Linked DNA regions of Styela clava. Each later gene encodes a partner of the first gene's protein in a complex. Links are inferred from orthologs where the notes say so. Each region holds a gene or a part of one and is shown on either strand. Other genes may lie near its edges.

Region 1 (7,450 bases):
TTGTAAACACGCAGACCTAAAGAATAAATGCAATGTCAACAAAATGACGTAACATTTACACTTATTTATCTAATTGGGGACGCAAAGTTCAATTTTATATGTATAATAAGATATTACAAACTCAACACTTGCCTCATCTGAAAAGTTGACATGACCTGGAGAATCCATAACATTGATAAGATAATTTTTGCCTCTTGTATCAGGCAATACCAGAGTAACAGGCTGTGATTTAATGCTTAATCCACGTTCTTGTTCAGTCAATAATGTGTCGGTAAATCTCAACTGTGAATAATGAAGAAAAATAGATCAAGGATTTATGGCTGCAGCGTATTTGATATTTGGAATCCTGGATAATTCTGGATCATATTCAAATTAAAAAAATTCCAAGATACTGTTTCTCTAGCATGTATGCCCTAATAAACTCGGTAGGACACAAAAAAAATGATCGGAATAGATCTCAAGATTTTCAAACTTACGTCTTTAGCTTCTTTCTTTGCAATATCTGGATGAGTTTGTTCGATCAGACAATCGACAAAATTTGTCTAAAACAAACAATAACATGGATTGAATAAAGAAGGACATCATATTAATATTTAGAAACCAATGAAAAATGCTTTTCACTGTCTTTTTATTCTTCAGAACGTCCAAGATTTTTACCAGACACTGTGGCAGTGGCCAGAGGAATAAAAATAATTAATCATTGAAATTTGTATATTTAATTAAATGTTTTTAATATACAAATTTAACTAATATATTAAAAACAAAAAATTACAAGCTGAAAAAAATAAATTTTATTATTTGTATGAAGTGTTAGAAAATAATGAATGCGAAAGAAAAAAAAAAAAGATGGCAAGGAGATCAGCCACTAGAATTTCTAGTATCACCCGCTCTATTTACTGAGACAAGCTTGGATCACAGCTTTATGCTACAGCAAGAAGTATGACCTCTCATTTGGTTAATAGTCTGGACCAGTATGACCGATTCATTGATACAGAGATATCAGAGGCAGAAAAAAATATAGTCAATATTATTAAGTAGGTTCTATCCTGCACTAATTATTTAAATTCACATTAGCGAAAATGTTGTTAATAGAGCTGTAGTGTCGGGAAAAAATTTACAACTGACTCTGAATACGAGTTGGAAAAATTGGCTCCGTCTCTGGGTAAAAAAAATCCAGTTAAAAAATGCTACAAACATGGTACTAAATCACGAAGCACGTTGGCCAAAACCTTATTTATCCTATGGTTCAATTCATCTTATGGCATATTGACATAAATTTGCAAAAAAATAATTTATCAAATACCTTTCCATGATGCAAATGTCCTGCAATAACAACATTTCTTATAAGTTCTGGTGAGTCCATGAGATCAGCAAGATATTCCATATCATATGTAGTGTTTGGTAAATCTTGGACCATGAGTGCGAACTTCTTCCTTCTTATCGGAGCAATAATCGGTTCTGTCAGTGGCTGTGCATCTTCCTCTTGCACTATCGTCTGAGTAAAATTGTTGAAAAATTGCTCAACCATAAAATTTTAGAATATAATAGATATAGAATAACCACAACTTTGCAGGTTAATCCTTCGGAATTTGACAATTCCAGAAAATCAGATTGGTGGCCGAAAACAAAAAACACCAATATAGTCCTAGTAATTTTATCTAAAAAAAATTATCCTGAAACAATATTGAATAGTCGAGAGCTTTGATCCAAAAAAGCGAAACTTAAAAAAACTCGAGACACTTTTATATCCCTGTAAATTTTTATTGAAATAATTTGGGTCTAAATAGCCTCTAAACTTCAATTTGATTACTTTGAAACTTTTATTTCTCAGTAATATTTTTAACATTCACCCTTGTTTAATTTAAAATGTTGCAATTAAAACAATAGATTTTCAATTGAGTTGGTGAAAAGAAAATCACAAAAACTCACACAGTAGTAGGAAAAAAAAATCAAGTTGATTAACTATTGCCAATGCAACAGACAAACAAAAATTGCTAATTTTTCGATGAGTGCCTATTAGCCCGAATCTAACATATCTCAACATAGTGAGGATACATTGGCAACATATCTAAATCGCAGCCAGAAAAACTATACTGAATTATATAATGTAAAACTAAACCGAAAGTTTTACCTCGACTTCTTCACCGTAAACTTCTTCATGGGTTGGATAATATTTTTTGTCTTCATGTAAAACAACTTCCATCCCAGTTTCTAAAATTAAATTTCCTTATTTCAATATATTAATTGTGGGTGCGGTAGGTCAGTGGTTAATACGTTAGACTTAGCAGTAAATCCCATGTCCAGGGTGTCCCCTTTCTCACTATGGTAGCTTAATACCTAGCATTGGTCTCTTTTGCAGAGCCTTGTTCAGAGCAAAGGACTATGAATATACCATATAAGAAAAATGAAAATTGTATCATGTCGAAATTGATTTTGGATTTGAGAATTCTATTCACATTATAAGTTAGTTATCTAGAATTCAGACTAATAAAATTTCACAGAAAAAATTTTTGTTACTAAATCTGGCCGGTGTTAATAAAATCATGTTTTACATTAAATTCTGCATAAAACCAGTAATAAGTACTATTATTGAGTTTGGTGATCGCTATTTTTGATTTGCAATAAATTTATATGGGATGTAGGCAGACTAAAATTAAAATACCAACGCATGAAAACGAGACAAGAATCCATGGTTCGATATATGATCAAATTGACCTATTTTTTTTTCCTTTTACTAAGATTAATATCATAATCTACATATAAAAATATTGTGTGTATTACTTGCAATTCCACTGCCATCCATATCAACATCATTGTCATCGTCATCTTCTTGCCGATCGAGATCATGTGATGGTGACATGTCATTATCTACTTCCTCATCTTCTTCATCGGAATCTAACTCAGGTCCGATATAATTCCCAAACTCATCGTACATTTCTGTATCCATGGTGGAATATGTTTGTTGTATCTATATTATGTCCTTGTATAGATAAAGTAAATTGTTGAAATACACCTAAAAAGTTGGATATTAGGCAAATATTAGATGCATAGCTAATACTGCAGTAGGACACAGTTCTCTTGTTCCAAAATTTTCAGTCATTTGATTAAGTAAATAAATCTAAATTAATCGCAGCCGTCACATGATCAAAATTGTGAAGGAAGGAAGGAATCTGATGAGGATATTTTTAGATTAGGATTTACATATTTATCTCGGGGGAGAGGTAAGTCGATAAGATACCATTCCATGTCGGGTATGGGATTAGTTAATTAGCCTACTTGTTTTTTTGGAGGCATGGACTTGATGGTGGAGGAAGCCGTGACAGACCAGCGGTTACGTGGACCACCCTACGACGGTGAGGTGTTCAGCAATCCTCTTGCACATAACCATGCAGAGTAATCAGAGGTGCGGTGGCGAGCACATTCCTATCGCTTAGCACCGCTTAGCACGATGACCCACACCGCCACGCCAATATTGAGGCTCAGACTGTCTCGTAAAGAAGGGGTTTGCACTCAGCATCATGATTGATGTCTCTGCTATTGATGATTCTATTGATGCAGCTATTCTTGGAATCCAAGTCCAATCTGTGCTTTACTGCCTGAATAATTACTAAAAAATCTACTACTATTTACCCAATTTTTGTTTCGTGGGAATTTTTATATATGCAGTATACGTGCTGTTGTGAGAGATACAATCTATAGGTCTGCAGACTATGTACTAAATGCAGAAATGACCTACAAAAAGATGCAAGTCTCAACTTCAATTCAAGTTAATTCTCAGAAATAGGGCCTACTCCAATTCTTATCGAAAACATATTTATATAACATTCAAGTACTGAAGTCAAGAAGTAGTGGTACATGAGGTTTAATATGCTCATCTGATTCTGCACGCAGTTTCTATTTTTATGTACTCACTATTCAAAGCAAATAAGTCAATAACAATAAATTATATACCAGATATTGCATATTATATCAAGTTCATTCATCTAACCAAGTTCGGAATGATTTATCAATTTTTTCAATATTTCTTCGTGATCTTCAAGGTTTTAATTCTAGTTCAAACGTTATCAACATTTGTATTGACATTTTAAAATTGAGACATCATGTCATTGACATCATGTCCCATCCTAATTATCGAAGTTAATCTGATAACAAGAATATGAAGTCAAAACAACCTTACGCTACGTGCAACGCTACTGTATACCTCTGTGTATATCGTCAATTACAAATCTGCATTTGTCTAAAACTCCCTCGCACGAAACGCATGGGATACGTTTCCTACCTGCAACTCATCGTACCATGACCAAGTATGAATAGACGAATTTGACGCATTAATGATTATAAGTATAAGTATAAGTTAGTATAAGTTTATTTCGACTCCATAATCAGCATAACAATACATTTGACAGATAAAAACAAATAAATAAAAACTGATTATGAAATCAGGGGAGCAAACAAAACCTTAGATAAGGTTTATAACGTACAAAATATAAGATGGAAGGTTTTGCCAAGAGGAAGTGGTACGTGTTTACTCACCTAAAATTATTAAGTTATTTCACACACGCTCACATGCACCCACCAGCCACACACACAACCACTGAGAATTTATTTAAGTAAGAATAAGACGCGATAAATTTAGGGTATACTATACAGTAAACAAAAAATAAATAAATAAATACTAGAAAAGAAAATTATCTGCCACACCATATTGATATTTTTGTAATGATTGCCATTGCCAAATTGATCGATCTTCTAATCGTTAATTAAGATATAAAAGGAAGATTCTATTGAAAACATATTGCCAAGCTGATTATAGTTGGAGTCAAATGCCAAGTTGCCCAACCAAAGTTGCCAGAATTGGGTGCATGAAGAGGTGGGCGAGACCATTTCATTCCCCAAATTAGAGCCTATTATTGCCAAATTATAGTCCAGATTGTAGTAAGTAATTAAAGTTACCGGTAACACTAAAATTACTATAATTAAGTAAAGTAGGATGTGGAAATAAATTGGTTACAAAGGGTGTAAGTGAGGTTTTTCATTCTTGGGTATTGATTTCAGACAAGGATATAGGAATAAGGTTGTTATTTCACAGGATATCGGAGTCTTTTTTGATTTTTTTCTTATGTGTTTTACTTCATTTAATCACTTTGAAGTAACCTGAAAAACAAAAAATAAAACTGCGAGTAGATGTTTCAATGATTGGGTGAAGGGGAACGCTCTGAACTATTTATTACAGGCAAAAAATAATTGTTTAATTAAATGGGATGTATTGTCATTGTATAGCGATGGATAGATGATCTATGATGACATTCTGCTTGGGACAGAGAAAAAAATTTATCACACCATGCAAAAAACACACAAAATTTTACTATCTATACCTTGGCCAACAAGTCAACTCAAACACCATGCCCTAACATAAAACGCATGCATACATAAATGATATAAAAACCACATCCAATTACAATGACCCACAGCAAATTAAAATCTGAAGGGGAGAAACCAACATAGCTCTACTGCTCGCCTAGTTGCAATAAGTAGTAACCTTGCAGGAACAATATTGTACTATCTACAACCCTTATACCACCACTCAAACATAAGACCAAGCGTGTATGATAAGGACATCACAGCTAGAAAAACATAAAAACACGAGCGTGAAGTGATAGAATGTGTGCAGTTATTTAAAGAAAATATCATCCGGGTACGTTAGCTACCTATATATTTAAAAATATATATATATATACTCAAGCATGTCACAATACCATTTCTTTGGTGCTGGACTAGTTCTGGCCAAGTCGTGGCAAGATATAACAATATTATTATAGCTGTTCAACATTTTCATTAAAACAATAATGTGCAAGTGTGGAGTGTCCCAAGTTTTTGTCATCGAATACCACCAGTAGTAATTTTTAATATTTGGAAACTAAATGAGACTTGACTTGTTTTTGAAAAGATTTTTTGGACTTTAAGGTCTTCAAATTTAAGGAAAGAGAATTCCAAAGTTTGGGTCCAGTAAAAGACAAGGAATGCTGACTCACGGATTTACTCATGAAAGGTACGAATAAATCAGAACTGCTTCTTCGGTTGGAGGTATTTTTGACAAGTATGTCATTAAAGCAATTGGGCAGCGCATTATTATGGAAGTCGTGAGCTAGAGATAATATTTCAAATTTCATCATATCTTCAACCTTAAGTATATTTAGTGATTTGAAGTAAGATTCTACACTTTCACGTTTTCTTTTACCAAAAACTATTCTTAAAAAATTATTACAAATACTCTGCAGTTTTGAGACAAGTGTTTTATTACCATGAAGCCAGACTGAACAACAATATCGAATATGGCTAAGTAGTAATGATTGAAACATTGCTAGTAGAGCTGATTGATCAACACACTGGGATACTTTGGCAGAAACTGCTAGGTTTCTTTTTGTTTTACCAATAACATGCATTATTTGTGATTTCCATGACAGATTTTCATCAAAGATAACTCCTAGAAATTTTATTTCTTTCACTCTTTCAATTTCATTGCCATTGAGCAGTAGTTTTTTTGAACAACTCACACTTTTATGCTTGCTTGGATGGAATAATACAAATTTAGTTTTGTTAGCATTCAGAGATAATTTATTAACTAACATCCAGCTACGAATGTTGGTTAGTTCTTGGTTTGCAACTGTGAATAGATCTTCAAGGTTTTCACCATGAAGAATCAAGTTAGTGTCATCAGCAAACATGATCGACTCAGAGGATTTCAGACACCTGGACATGTCATTAATGTAAGCTAGAAAAAATAATGGGCCAAGTAAAGATCCTTGTGGAACTCCGTGCTTCATGACACAAATATTTGTAGAGAACAGATGTTTCCATGAGAATCTTGGTCCATGCGAGGGGTTTGGGCATTACTGTATGCGAGAACGATGCTGAGCTTGATAATTAGTGTCTTGCCTGTTACTCAAATATCGTATCTTACGCAATTTAAAAAAATGGCGCTCCAGAAGTGTGTGTACCAGTATTTTAGGGGGGGGGGGAATTTGGGGTTGGAAGATATTTTGTTATTAGTGATAAAACTATTTGTAACTTATAAAATATTCAAATACATTTGAGAAACGAAGCGATGCGGGATGGACCACAGCACTCCCGTCGGATTTTATTCAAACTAAAGAATCCAGGACATTCTTATTGGACACGTAGTGGACATAACGATCGTTTCAAAATTTTGTTGTTATTGTTATTATTTGTCTCCATCATTTTAAAAAAAATTGCTTTTCTCTTTGACTACTACCAATTGCTTTGAAATTTTCAGTGAGTAAAGATTGATTTTTCCGCCAGAAGGCTATTACTTTTATTTATTTCTAAATATCGCACGAAATCTGATATTTCGTCTAAAATTTCGCTGTATTATTTTATCCATGGGAACACTGGCTGTCCGGTTTGATTCTGTAAATTATTTCTACGCGAA
Region 2 (6,943 bases), on another chromosome or scaffold:
TTTTCTTTTGTTTAATATCTCGTAGATGTTCCTTGCTGCGAGTTTCCAGGCTTCTTTTTGGTTTCTCCAATGTAGACTGAAGAACAATCGCTGCATGGGATTGTATATACAACTCCGTTTTTTTTGTTTAGGGCATGGGCGGTCTTTGACGTTGGAGAGCAATTGGCCGATAGTGTGTTGGGGTTTAAAACTTACTCTGATTTTAACGTCTTCCAAAATTCTTCGAATTTTTTCACTTAGTCCTTGGACATACGGAATGGTGGTAGATGCGATTGGTATGGGTTTATCAGGCGGTTTTTGGAGATTTACATGATTTCTGAACATTTTCGTTGGATATCCATTTTGTCGTAAAGTCTTCTTAATGAAATTTATTTCTTGTTTCTGCTTTGTTTCATCCGATATAAGAGTTTTGGCACGATTCATAAGACTACTAACCACTGAACGTTATGGTTAAGCGGGTGGCTAGAGTTAAAATTGAGGTAGCGATTAGTATGGGTCTTTTTCCTAAATATATCAGTCGTCAATTCTCCATTTCCTTCACTCTGTATCTGGACATCTAAGAAGGCTATTGTCCCATTGACTTCTTTTTCTATGGTAAATTTTATGCTTGGTTCGATCGTGTTGCTGTGGTCGTGGAACGCGTCACAAAATTCCTCAGGTCATTTGAGGGTGTTATCGTTGCAGCAAGGAAGAGGCATGAAATAAAATTTACCTAATTGTGTGACAGTGTAGTTATGTACACAAATTAAATTAGGTCCATGTGTTCAATTAGTACCGGCAGTCCGGATATAAGGTAGCAAATAGATTATAATCTCATCAAATTGCCATTGGTCTACCAGTATTATAACTTCAATATGTATTGAATCAGACTTTTATGAGTTTTATTCCGTCAAAGGAAACATGATCCTTCCTCGTTGGTTAGGCACAGAAATTGATACGGCATAGGATGGAGGTCCGTCAAAAATAAAATGCGACGATAGAGCCAATCGATTTACCGCCTTCCTTAATACCCGATATAAAGCAAATGACACAAGGAGGAGAAGTACTCACGCTACTCGACCTCAAGAAAGCCTATTTTCATTGTGATATGACCGAAGCATTTAGAACCTTTCTTGGAATAACAGTGAAAGGGGTACACATACGTTGGTGCAATATTCCAATGGGACTCAAAACTGCCGTTGCGTTATGGTCGGCTAACATGCAAGAGTGTGTGGTGAAACCCATAACAGCGACGTATCGGGAACACGTGACTAACAAAAAGTGATTGGAGGAGCAAAAAGCGTCGCTGATAGAAGCATACATAGACGACATCTTCCTGAGCACTAAAACAGTCGAGGACCACCTAACGTTACTCTAAATGACCTTCGAACAATTAACAAAATGAAATCGATCTTTAAGCATCAATAAGTGTTTTATTGGAAAAGAACCTGCTAGATCAAGATCAACCTGCTAGGCGCCACCTTGAGTGGGGAAGAAATAGAGGTTCAACCGGAAAGACTGAAGATGATGAAAGAACTACCACCGGCGCGAAATATATACAAACTCAGAGGATGGATCGGTGCTTTGAGGTATATAGCAGATCATATTCCGGAACTCAATCGGAAACTAGCGAAGTTTGACGCCCTAACAGGAAACGTACCTACCACAAGAAGCAGAGGCACGCCAGTAGTATGGACTAAAGAATTACTTGAAGACTACAAAATCGCACGACGCCAACTAAATAACACGAAAATATTACATGATGTAGACCAAAAGCTTCTATTGTATGTCGTAACGGATGCTTTAGAGAACGGGTTTGGTGCTGTCATATTTCAAACAAAAGAGGGGAAGGAATCACCATTCGAAAACGTTTATCCTATAGCGCACTATAATCACCCCAGCAGCCAGAGCATATGACCCCTGCACGAAGGGGATTAACGCACAAAGGAGTCGGTGGACAAGTGGCAATCTATTCCATACGCGATTCCTTTCACAATCCTAGCAGATAATACGGGAGTATTTGGCTTAAAAAAATGAAGGAATAACAGAAAAATCCGAGCCCTAAGATGTTAATACAACGATGGCCAACTCATTTGTCAGGATTCCAAATAGTTAAGTAATACACCCATCAGTCAACTAATGAAGTATTTACCTCGGATGGTTTATCACGTGCCTACTGGCTGGAAATGGCTGCCGGAGAAGGCGAGACAGGAATTTGGTCTACGTACGTGACACCAACAGACAAATTAATAGAAAAGTTTCAATTTCTTGTTGCGTTTTGTCATAAAATACTATTATCGGGAAATATGATTATCGTTAGACATAGGTAGATTCCGGTTTTATTTTAAAGTCTTCCCCCTCGGTAAAATTTTTTATGTTTCAGTATTTGTAAGATAATTCACTATATAATATAATAGGCAAATTTCGTGATGTACAAATTAATAGAAAAGTTTCAATTCCCTGTTGCATTTTGTCATAAAATACCATTATCGGGAATTAGGATCATCGTTAGACATAGGTAGATTCCGGTTTTATTTTAAAGTCTCCCCCCCCCCCCCGGTAGAATTTTTCAGAATTTGTAAGATAATTCACTATATAATATAAAAGGCAAATTGCGTGATGTACAAAATAATATAAAAGTTTCAATTCCCTGCCGCATTTTGACATAAAATACTATTATCAGAGTCATTATATAATGGCTCTGCTATTATCGTGAAATAGGATTATCGTTAGACATAGGTAGATTCCGTTTTTTTCCCTGGTAGAACTTTTCGTTATTTGTTGGATAATTAGATATATAATGTAATAAGTCAATTTCATGGTGTACAGAGTATTAGAAGTGCCGAAATCAGACTTCAAAGCCATCAAGACAATGTATCTCTTTGGATAAATGTTACTCAATTTGCTTGTTCAATCTTTATTTTAAAAGATGTATTTGTGCAAATCAGATTCGATTTGTTCATACCTCAATTTTATTGATGGAAATGAATAGGTTTGATATTCGCTTAGATTTAAATTTTCATGTTGTGAAACCCTCCTGCAGTCCTGTGAATTCATGCTTGTTTACCTACATACCTGGCATAAGGGATAAGAGATATTATTGTTCAGCTGATTTTGATTCATTTTCCCGGCAATTATATAAGTATAAGTTTATTTCGACTCCATAATCAGCAATAGACGATAATAATAGATAAAAATAAAAGTAACTGATTATAGAATCGGGAGAGCGAACAAAACCTCGAGTAAGGTTTGAAACGTACAGATTTTAGATGGAAAGGTATTGATAAAAGAAGTAGATCTAGTACGTGTTCGCTCACCCAAATTGTGGCTGTGCCATCAATTGCCGGACTTTGAGAGGTTCTGGCGCTGAGTTAAACATGGATATATGTAATTTAGTAATCTGTGAACGTTTAGGATGCCTTGACTTACGGTGAAACATTGTCAGAACGTCAGGTCAGCCCACTCTCGTTCTGTCGTTTGACGCTAGCCCAAACTCGCGGGATGCCAGCACACACTCGTGTGACGCTAGCCTACACTCTGACACTCGTGTGAAGCTAGCCCACACTCGTTTTTGTCAGGCCATACTAGGGGTAACTGGGCCGTGCTTGGTATTGTATTTGCGTTGTGTATATCAGATATGGTCTCTATGTTGTCAGAGTCACCAAGTTTTTATGTAATAACAGTTATAAAGTCAGTAAAATAGTTGGTTAACCCCTTGACGTCAGGCTGAATGTGGGCTGGAGTAATTTTGGTCTTATCATTGATATCTCTTAATGTGACGGCTGCGCCGTAGGTTACTGTAATATTCAATCCAAAAACAACAAATTTTCAATGCTCAATTTAATCAAACTAAATTATTTTTGACATATTTGCGATTAATAATTTTAAAATTTTGATTTGACTGATGAATTGACCAAAATCTAATTCTAAAATTTGATCCTCAAGGTAATACATTTTGGTCACTAGCAATAGGCGTAAAGTGAAAAAAATGGATGCAGGATTTTTCAGGGTAAGCCTCAATCATTTCATCGTTAAATAAATCTAAAATGTTGAGTTTCAATTGAACTATCTCATTTTCAACCTCAGCTTTCTGCATTTGGTCATTCTCACTCATTTCACTGTTTTTCACATTTACGTTAGTTGGTTCTCTATTTTTTGATTTATAAGATCGGATCTACTTTCTTAGATATGTTTTAACTTATAGGTTAAGTTATTACATAAGATTATTAACATAATTGGGGATGGTCAATTTAGAATATTGAATCCGCAAAATTCAAAGCATCTGTTTCCTACTTTGTTATAATTGGTATTCGTATTATAAGCTTGCACAAATTATAAATAGGATTAAATTAGTCAAATTATAGATTGGATATTTTAGCTTTCACATTTCATTTCTTTAGGGCACCAGTGCCGAGCAAGATAATCGTTTTGCCAACAAGCAAAAAAAATTGTTGAAATCGATGAAATTTGCAGACGGTTTGGAGAGCAAGGTAACATTTCATTTTTTTTTATAGGGATTGCTGGATTGGCACTTTCAATAACCTTCGAATCGAATTCTTAAATATTGAGGCATATTTGCTGTTATTATTTCTGTAGGATAATATTTCATTCATTTTTTATAAGTATTACATGGTTAAAATACTTAACTATTGCAGTATTGTATCAGGATGTATTTATATATTTTCATCAAATGTAAATTTATTGTAGTTCACCGTGTTTCTAGCGTTTTTGTTTTTAAAGTTGAGATCAGCCATGTTTCATTCAGATTGATATGAACAAGATCAATGTGGAAACAATTAAACCTTGGATTACGAAGACAATTACTGAAATGCTTGGCTTTGAAGATGATGTCGTCATTGAATATGTTTTTAATCACCTGGAGGAAAGAGTATGAAAGTTTTTATTTATTTGAGTAAAATTCATTTCATTTTTTTGAAATTCTCTTTCCTTACATATATTTTTCAGCATTGTGACTAGAGATGGGCAATGTAGGATAATTTACTATTATAGAATAGTTAAATCGAATCTAGAATACCGAATCCTAATCTATTTTCATACTTATTCAAAGAGTGGGAATTTCCACATTGCTAGATTTTGATGTTAAAAAATTTTAAATGTATTACTATAAATGTATTATTCATTTGGACATTTGATTTCATTTGATATTAAACAGGCATTTCCCAGGACAATAAATTTTATGAATATTACAATATATTTTGCCTTCCAATTGTTCCAAATGTATGTTATCCCTAAATACTGATATTCTAAATCAAGGCACGCTTTGAACACTTTAATAGTAAGCAGTTAAATACAAAAATAGATATGAAACATCGTTAAATCATTATTAATGTTAGGTCTGCCGAGTGTACTACAACATACCCACTGAGAATTACATATAAGCAGGACCAGCTTGTTGCCACTGCAACCTATGCACCCATTGTAAAATATTAAATTGAAGCGCTATCAATTAAAATCAACTTTTAATTCTGTGCGAGCAAGACTCGTGGAACCAAGTTTTTGTAAACACGATTTCGTACTTAGTTATTAGGTAATAACATCCAAAGACTCAATACGTCACTATCTCTGCCAGATGCGACAACTTTTTTTAAATTTATTGGCGACTAAAATACTACAAACACCCGATCAAATGTGCGTCTATCTTGAACGATAGAAACTGACCGAAAAATATGTAATCTTTTGAGAGTGAAATTCAAATGTGACAGATTTTCTCGTTTTGCGATATAACTTTGTATTTTGAAAAAAGGATGTAATAAAATTATTCGTAAATGATATTTGATGTAAATTAATCGCAAGTAATGTTATAACATTCAACGCTTTTGGTTCTGGTTCACATGCATTATTTTTTGAGAAAACTCGCAGGTCGCAAAAAATCATTTAATATAAAATGAAGCAAGGCACGTCTGTATCCAAATAAAGATTGTTGCAATCAGATTATCGGAATATCGCCAGTAAGTCGGCACAAATAATTAATAATAGTATACGCTAGCTAGATAGCAAAGCAGAAAAACGCAAAAATGGTGCAATAACGAGTCTTTGCCGTGAGGTGTACTTCGCCGACTTCGTGTCTTGAATATGCCGATTGAGATTACAGTGTCTGATGTTTACCGATTTCACGGGTTTATTGCGAGCAGACGCTGGAGAGGCGGAAACCGAATTTTGTTATCGGATCCTGCTGGATTTGAATACTTTGGGCTTTGAATCCTCCGGATTCGGTATTCTATATTGCCCATCCCTAATTGTGACACGTCCAGATTGAGCCGAAACAAAATCAAGTTTTGCATGATAGTCATGAGATACATATCCTAATCGCCTCATAAAGGATGATTATATTGGCGGTATGTTTGTCAAGAACCTAATCAAATGAAAGATTAGGAATATCTCTTTGTTTTCAAATTTTAATAACATTATTTTTATGAGGACAGTATCGGTAAAGGCTTTTGCTAGTGATGCACACACAAATGCAAATATTCACTGCAGAGATATTACAGATTCACTGTATGAACGGCGATTAACGAAAACTGATGGGAAGGCGTGCTATTGTTCTTTCACAATATTTTCTGATCGGAAAGTATTAATGCACCGACCCCAGAAAATTGGGTCTGAACATTGTCTTATTAGTTACAAAGTATGCCATATGTACATTTCTGCACATGCTGATTTTTTATTAAAATGGTTAGAAAATTGGGTCTGAACATTGTCTTATTAGTTACAAAGTATGCCATATGTACAGTTCTACACATGCTGATTTTTTATTAGAATGGTTATCTATATAGTTCATGTTTATTTTTTGTTTGTATTAGTATCCTGACCCAAAGAATCTTCAAATAAATCTCACTGGATTTTTGAACGCCAAGAATTCTAGACTTTTCCTTGGACAATTGTGGCCGCTTCTTACATCAGCACAAGAAAGTGCTACTGGTATCCCTTTGTCTTTTATGGAACA
Region 3 (6,919 bases), on another chromosome or scaffold:
GCGTCTGTGTGAAAAAAAAACTGGAGAACTGGAGATATCTTATAATTGGGTTTCACATCTGTGTGCTCTGGGGTAATACAGACGTAAATCATCCTGTTCCTTTCATAAAATCTATTCTGGTCAATTTTTGTATGAATCTAGAATTTAAATTACGCCACTAGTACGAATCATTCAAACTGAGGAATATTGTCAGACCAATCTTGACCTAACATAAACTTCTAGCGAAGTAAATCCTGAAACTGCTCAAACGAGAATATCGGTCAGAGACCAAAGACTTATCGATCGAAAGTTAGCGGGAGGGGGTCTCCCAAAACAGCGCTCTTACTCCATAATAACACCTTGTGTCCCATCACTAAATGTTTAATAACTCGCTGATTATACGACATAATTCGCCCAAAATTAATATGCTTTTGGTCCGAAATATGATGAATGCACATGCAAAATCTGGAGCAGATTCAATCTCGCTTTCGTAAGATATCGCGTGCATCTAACAGACATACACGCAGACAAATACCAATCAACATACTTACCGATCTAAGGATCGATAAGTAATAATGCCAAACAAATAAGTTGTTTTTGCGTTTTTAAAAATAAATTCTATCAGGCACTGAATGAGATTTATTGAGAGATGCCTTTAGTTAACCAAACCTACTTAATTTGCAACTAAGCAGGTATGGCCCATGTCAAATAGGGTATAGTGTTCCACAAGATACAGACTTATATTTAAAAAAAATGGAAATTAGCTGTATTTCACATCACATTTTCGTTTGCTGTTATTCAAGCAGTTATGGCGTTCACTTCGCTAGACCCCGTTGTTATCATTAAATTTCCAAAAAAAGAAAAAGTTTCTAACTACTGTAGATTTGAATGTTCTTATGCTGCTCTATTCTATAATTTATATTCAAAAATATCATTTCAAAATGTATTTGCAATTGTAGATTATTTGAAATCAATGTCATGCGTCTGCTTTGGCACTTTTGTGCAATTTTCTATAATATATACTTTTATGCTAAAAAATGTGATAATGCTTTCATTTTTTGCTATAGTCTGTTGTAATGATAAATAGTATAGAATTTTGACTTTTTTGTGCTATACTATACACTACAAGTCTACAACACAACGTTTAATGCTTTTAAAAATTAAATTATTACAGCCACATTTTCAATGGGCGATTGCCCTGCCCTCCCTGCTTTTCATTTTACCCTAATACTCTCCTTTTATCAAAATTGCTCAGTCGAATCCTCCACCACTTAAAAACGTTTTCATTTTTTAGGAATATGTATTAGTCTAGGATAAATATTCTGACATGGCATTGGTTGAAAACTTTGTTACAGTAGTTGGAGTTTTAACTATTCTCCGCTTTTTCTCAAGATTTGTGGGAACTGTTGCTCGCATAATCAACGAGTCATTGTGGAGTAAAACCTTTGATTTTAAGAAGTTCGGGACATGGGCGGTCGTTACCGGTGCTAGTGACGGAATTGGAAAAGCGACGGCATATGAACTTGCTAAAGCTGGAATGAATTTGGTGATCTTGGCTCGTACGAAGTCGAAACTTGATAAATTTGCTGACGAATTGCGACAAAGTTTCAACGTTCGTGTTATTGTTATAGCAGTTGATTTTTCAAATGGTGAAGATATTTATGATGTCATAAATGAAGAATTGAGGGATCTCGATATTGCATTGTTGGTTAACAATGTCGGCATGGCGTTCGGAAAACCTATGTCCTTCATGGACGTTCCAGAGTACAGAAAATATTCTACTAATGTTGTGAATGTCAATGTCTTGGCTGCCATGAAAATGACAGAAATCGTTTTGCCAAATATGGTCAAAAAGGGGGGTGGGATTATAACTAACATATCTTCGCTTGTTGCCTCTATGAATGGAGCATATTTTTCAGTTTATGGGGGTTCAAAAGCAGCTATCAACGCTTATACAGAAGCGATGCAGAATGAATACTCAAACAAAGGAATAATTTTTCAACTCATTGCTCCAGGTTTGACAGTCACACCAATGGCATTAACATACACTGACTTGAAACCAAATTTGTTGATCCCGGTATCAAAGTTGTACGGAAAACATGTTGTCAAGTCACTGGGAAAATCGTCTCACACAAATACAGGATTCCTTGGACATAATGTGTTTAAACTTTTCATAAATCTCATCCCAGATTTCTTAGCTGCAAAGATAAATGGATCTGAAGCAGCAAAATTAAAACCTAATAAATAGGATGAATTTAATGAAATGTTGACTTTGTGTATGTTGTGTAACTTGTGTTATAGTTTTAAGGTTTAAAAAAAAGCTAGAACTGTTGAAAAGTAGTTTTGAATTATATAGTGATACCTTGGTAGTCGAATAAATTCGTTCTGGATTGGTGTTGGAGTACCGAAACTTATGGTGATTATTTTAAACACATTCCAAAATACCGTACTCGAAATATTGAGAAATTTTTTTCATAACATAAAAAAAAATACCAACAAGATTAACAACAACATATTACCAAAACGTTCCACTTGGGCCCATTAAGTGTTCTATAATTTAAAAAACTTTTAAAAAACATTTGAAAAGTTATCATTTTAAGTAATTGGACCATGATCCCTGCTAGATAGGAATTCTAGAATACTTATCTGCTCATAACCCATTCTACCTCTAGTTACCAGATTTCTCCTTGCATAATATTCAGGTACATTTCAGCATATAATTCTATTGAAGTCAGTTGTGTATTATTTGTGGAAAGTCATGGTATTCTATATTGTTTCACTATCTAATTAATTTGTTTCTAATTTGTGAACGGGGCTCCCGAAGTATGCGAACCAAGATGGCGGACATCGGAACGTAACATGGGTAACAGGTTAGGGTTAGGCGATAATTTTTTTCCAATTTTCCTTATTTTAGTTCTATTATCAGTTCGAAGACTAGCCAAGAGCCTCCCGTAGTATTTATACCTAAAATTATGGCCTAACCCTAACCTAGTACACATATTACATTCCGATGTCCGCCATCTTGGTTCGCATACTTCGGGAGCCCCTTGTGAACTTCTTTTGCCATTGAGATTATAATACGGGGTGCCCAAAAAGTTCCGCCCGATTTCATAGCATTACCAATTGCAAATTTGAAAAATTTGGTTGTATGATAAATAGGGACTACAACATTTAACATATATAACATCAAATTAGAAACAGGTTGAATATAAATATTTTTTTAAATTAAAAAAATAGCATTTGATTATAAAGACTTTATAATCGGGCGAAACTTTTTGGACACCCTGTACATTGTATATATTTCATATTTTGCCTATTTTTGATTGTTAGAGGTTTAGATGTCTTGCTGAAACTAACACGAAAGTATTTTTATAAATTATATTGAACTCGAGGTTGTGTGGAGAAGTTTATGTTTGCTGAGATGATGATTATGCTGCATAAATACATTCGTGTTAGTTTGAAGCAAGAAATTTATTAAATCACATAGAATTTTCATATTTACTATTCCTGCAGCATTCTTGTATCATTGCCATACGGGTCCACCAGCATGGAAATATCGAGGAATAACATAGAATTGGTATCAATTTAGTTAAGTTGTTTAGCAGGTAATGGTACATAATGCACCCACCAACATGATTCCCTGTAGTTTCAGTAACTCCCGGAATTCAGTTGTAATTTTGCTCAGAAATCTGTCTCTATTGATGATTCTGCTTTACTTTTGAGTGAGTTTGCGTGGCCTAGCGTTTCTTCAAGCAAATGTAAAAAAATGCCATAAAATAAAGATTTAATATGCAAACACTCACCGCTATATTACATTATACAAGTGAATTTTGTCCCACCAATTTTACAAGACTTTTTTTCAATTTGTATGCTGTTTATTTTTATCAAAATTTTTTATAAAATTCATTGATTTCCAGGCATAGACATAGATATAAAATGACTTCACTCAGCCGGGAGGAATACTTGAAGAAATATCTTGCCCCAGTTGAAAGTGGCGACTATAAGAAACGGAAAAAGAAAAAAGGGGGAAAAGTCAAACAGTGAGTGATGTTGTTTTTCATCTGTCATGAGGAGAAAACTGACAAGGTTTAGTTAATTTATGGCGAGTTAGTGCAAACCGCGATACGTGAAGAGATTTTTTGTGGCCCTTGAACTTCATTTTTAATGCATAAAACCAAAAATTGCTCAGAAATTTATAGTTATCTGTTGGCGGATGTATGTCGAAACAATGTCTGTTGTGCGGTGGTTGTTTTGCAGTAGTTAGCGAACATATCGGGGGATTCTGGCTGCTTCCTGAACGAATACCTACTTGTTAGTTTGTAATTAACACAGAAATAGAAGTTGCGGTCATGTCATAATTTGAAGTTTATTAATGTGGCGGCTGTTCATAGGTGGAAAATAATGCAGCTCATACTCTGCCGTCAATAGGCATATTTGGCCGAGTAGTATCGCAGTGCCGATGACTGTTTTATATGTATGAACTTCAAAACTATATTGGCCATACCTTTGTACATAGTAATCTCCAGTTTCTCTTTGGTGTGACTGGGATCTTTCCAGTTCATCATGGGTTATGTGGCCTACCCTGTTTATTATATCTCGGCTTACATTCTGTTTTTTGTATCGATTTACTTGAGTTTCTCTCTGTACTAATGCTTAGCACATTTATCTCATGGGAGAGGAAAGATATTAGTAAGAGTTTTTTCTGACAAGCCGAGTTCTTCACATGCCTTATTTGTTGTACAGGGTGTCCATAAGTTCGTTTACAATTCCAATTTTGTTATGAAGTCAGTTCTCAATATAGCATTACCAGGTTTATTGTTTTTTAATCAGTAATTTTTAAGTATTTTCACTTCATTCAATACATCTGTGAGGGCCAAAACAATATATGGTATCGTTAAATTCTCTCTACAGTTTATGAAAATTATATAATACTTTATTGACACCCTAGATATATGGATTTTGGCGGCATATGTCAATGAGGAGTTCTTGCACATAAGTATCTCCTCCCATGAGGTTTCAGCTTTCGGACTAACACAGAGTATGTGTGCATCCCACCCACGAGCCCTGTCATTTTATTTTTTATTTTATTATTTTCAGAGGAAGGGGCATGAAAATAGTCGATGACGATGTTTCATGGAAAAATATTGGACCGAAAGATGAGGAGGGGGATTTCCCTGATGCTTTACTGGTACGTTATACATATTTTATTCAAGCAAGGTTTCTGGGGATGCCATTATAGTTGAGTCTAATGCTTTAACCACAAGCCCCCATTGGCCTAGTTTGTGTAATCTTATCTATTATTTTCTCTCCTAGCTTATTTGACATGAAGTGGACCTATAGATCGTTTTGGTATTAATTAGGTTGTTGTTCTTTTTCTTGTTACCTTATGAAAAAAATCGCTCCTCTTACTCAACAAGTGACCAATTGCTTTGGTACTTTCAGTGGTTAAAATAGTCGATTACGTTGGCTTTTTAATATTAAACATGGTGCATTGAATACATCATGAAAACTCCTTAACAGCAAGGTATTTTCATAGAAAAGGAGGACCAAAAAACGTTACAGTCGTTGGAAGATAGAATAGATCATAAAAGTATTAGAAGCACTGACCTATGACCTTTTTATCTTCTCAGACACAGGAAGAGAAACCTCAAGTTGAAGTTATCGACAACAGAACAAAATCTGAGAAGGAACTTGATGCGTATAGGAAGAGCAGTAAATGGAAAACATTGAAGGAAGACAGCGATGAAAATAGGGTTTGTACTGCGTAATGCTTCATTTCCGGTACTCCCGAAGTATGTGAACCAAGATCTCGGATACTTTAATGTAGTATGTATACCAGAATATGGGTAGGCCATAATTTTATCCCAATTTTTCCCATTTTAGTTCTATTACGAGTTCGGGGACTAGCCAAGTGACTCCCGTAGTATTTGTACCTGAAATTATGGCGTAACCCTAATCGGGTACACATACTATGTTCCGGTGTCCGCCATCTTGGTTCACACACTTCGCGAGTAGGCTACCTTGTTTTCAAGTTTCCCCGATTTTCATTCTCGTATGAGATTTCACCAGGGCTGCTGAATCGGCATAAGTTTACAATCAACTCCGAGTTGATTCAAAATTTTTGAATCAGATTCCACATCTGAACTTATGCAAGTCTCCATTAAAAACATGTCAAATGATTGCCTATTTCTTATTTGTTAATAAGTATGATATCTCTTGCTTTGTTTCAATTGACAACGCAATTTTGACGATCCATAAGTGTGTGTACTAATATGGAGGTGACTAATTTTGTTCGCCTACTTTACATCATGTTGTGTAAAGGGACTGAAACCTACTAGTCATCGAACTCGTAATAGAAGTAAAATAAAAAAAAAACGGAATCAAATTATGGCCTAACCCTAACTTGGTACTATCAATTTTGATAACTGAATTTTATATAGTTTAAGTGGCTCTTGGAATTTTAGTCTCATAAATCTCTCTCTTATAGTGTTTGATATTACTTTTTTTTAAATAAAAATTCGAAAATTCCAATTTTTTTACAGATTGTGATAGAAGATTCTGGTAGTGATTTTGATGACATCCCTCGGAAAAAGCAATCAAATAATTCCAGACACGATTCGGACAGCGATATAGAAATCCCGAGGAAATCAGAGGCTAAATCACGAAAAAGGCATGACTCTACTAGTGGAGACGATACAGCGCCACCAAGGGGATCTAAAATTTCTAAAAGGACTAAACATAATGATTCCGATAGTGACTTGGACATAAGGACTAAAAAGCATGACAGAGCAGAAAATACTTTTAGAAGAAAACATGACTCATCAAGTTTAACTGACTCTAGATCAGGAAAACATTCACACAAAGGTCATAGGTCAAGGCACGATTCTGATTTAGAAATTCGAAGATCGACTTCTAAATCAAATAGAAATACAGATAGAAA

What was found. Proteins that work in one complex are often made in the same cells at the same time.
Region 2: 116 kDa U5 small nuclear ribonucleoprotein component-like (region 1) and uncharacterized protein LOC120339308 share a complex: the UniProt entries of both Homo sapiens proteins name them as parts of the minor spliceosome. The link is inferred for Styela clava from reciprocal best matches to the Homo sapiens genes EFTUD2 and SRRM1.
Region 3: 116 kDa U5 small nuclear ribonucleoprotein component-like (region 1) and uncharacterized protein LOC120336929 share a complex: the UniProt entries of both Homo sapiens proteins name them as parts of the minor spliceosome. The link is inferred for Styela clava from reciprocal best matches to the Homo sapiens genes EFTUD2 and BUD13.

The regions. Positions count from the first base shown.
Region 1 is NC_135262.1:13,319,084-13,326,533, reverse strand, and holds the start of 116 kDa U5 small nuclear ribonucleoprotein component-like, read right to left. Parts: upstream 3,013-7,450; 5' UTR 2,948-3,012; coding exon 2,782-2,947; intron 2,212-2,781; coding exon 2,132-2,211; intron 1,496-2,131; coding exon 1,304-1,495; intron 543-1,303; coding exon 477-542; intron 283-476; coding exon 133-282; intron 1-132. UniProt on the Homo sapiens protein: Required for pre-mRNA splicing as component of the spliceosome, including pre-catalytic, catalytic and post-catalytic spliceosomal complexes. Component of the U5 snRNP and the U4/U6-U5 tri-snRNP complex, a building block of the spliceosome.
Region 2 is NC_135250.1:14,829,977-14,836,919, reverse strand, and holds the start of uncharacterized protein LOC120339308, read left to right. Parts: upstream 1-3,924; 5' UTR 3,925-3,967; coding exon 3,968-3,988; intron 3,989-4,379; coding exon 4,380-4,469; intron 4,470-4,744; coding exon 4,745-4,867; intron 4,868-6,800; coding exon 6,801-6,943. UniProt on the Homo sapiens protein: Part of pre- and post-splicing multiprotein mRNP complexes. As a component of the minor spliceosome, involved in the splicing of U12-type introns in pre-mRNAs. Involved in numerous pre-mRNA processing events.
Region 3 is NC_135251.1:6,173,822-6,180,740, forward strand, and holds the start of uncharacterized protein LOC120336929, read left to right. Parts: upstream 1-3,900; 5' UTR 3,901-3,915; coding exon 3,916-4,019; intron 4,020-5,076; coding exon 5,077-5,167; intron 5,168-5,609; coding exon 5,610-5,732; intron 5,733-6,521; coding exon 6,522-6,919. Other genes in the region: very-long-chain 3-oxoacyl-CoA reductase-like, read left to right, coding at 1,307-2,227. UniProt on the Homo sapiens protein: Involved in pre-mRNA splicing as component of the activated spliceosome. As a component of the minor spliceosome, involved in the splicing of U12-type introns in pre-mRNAs.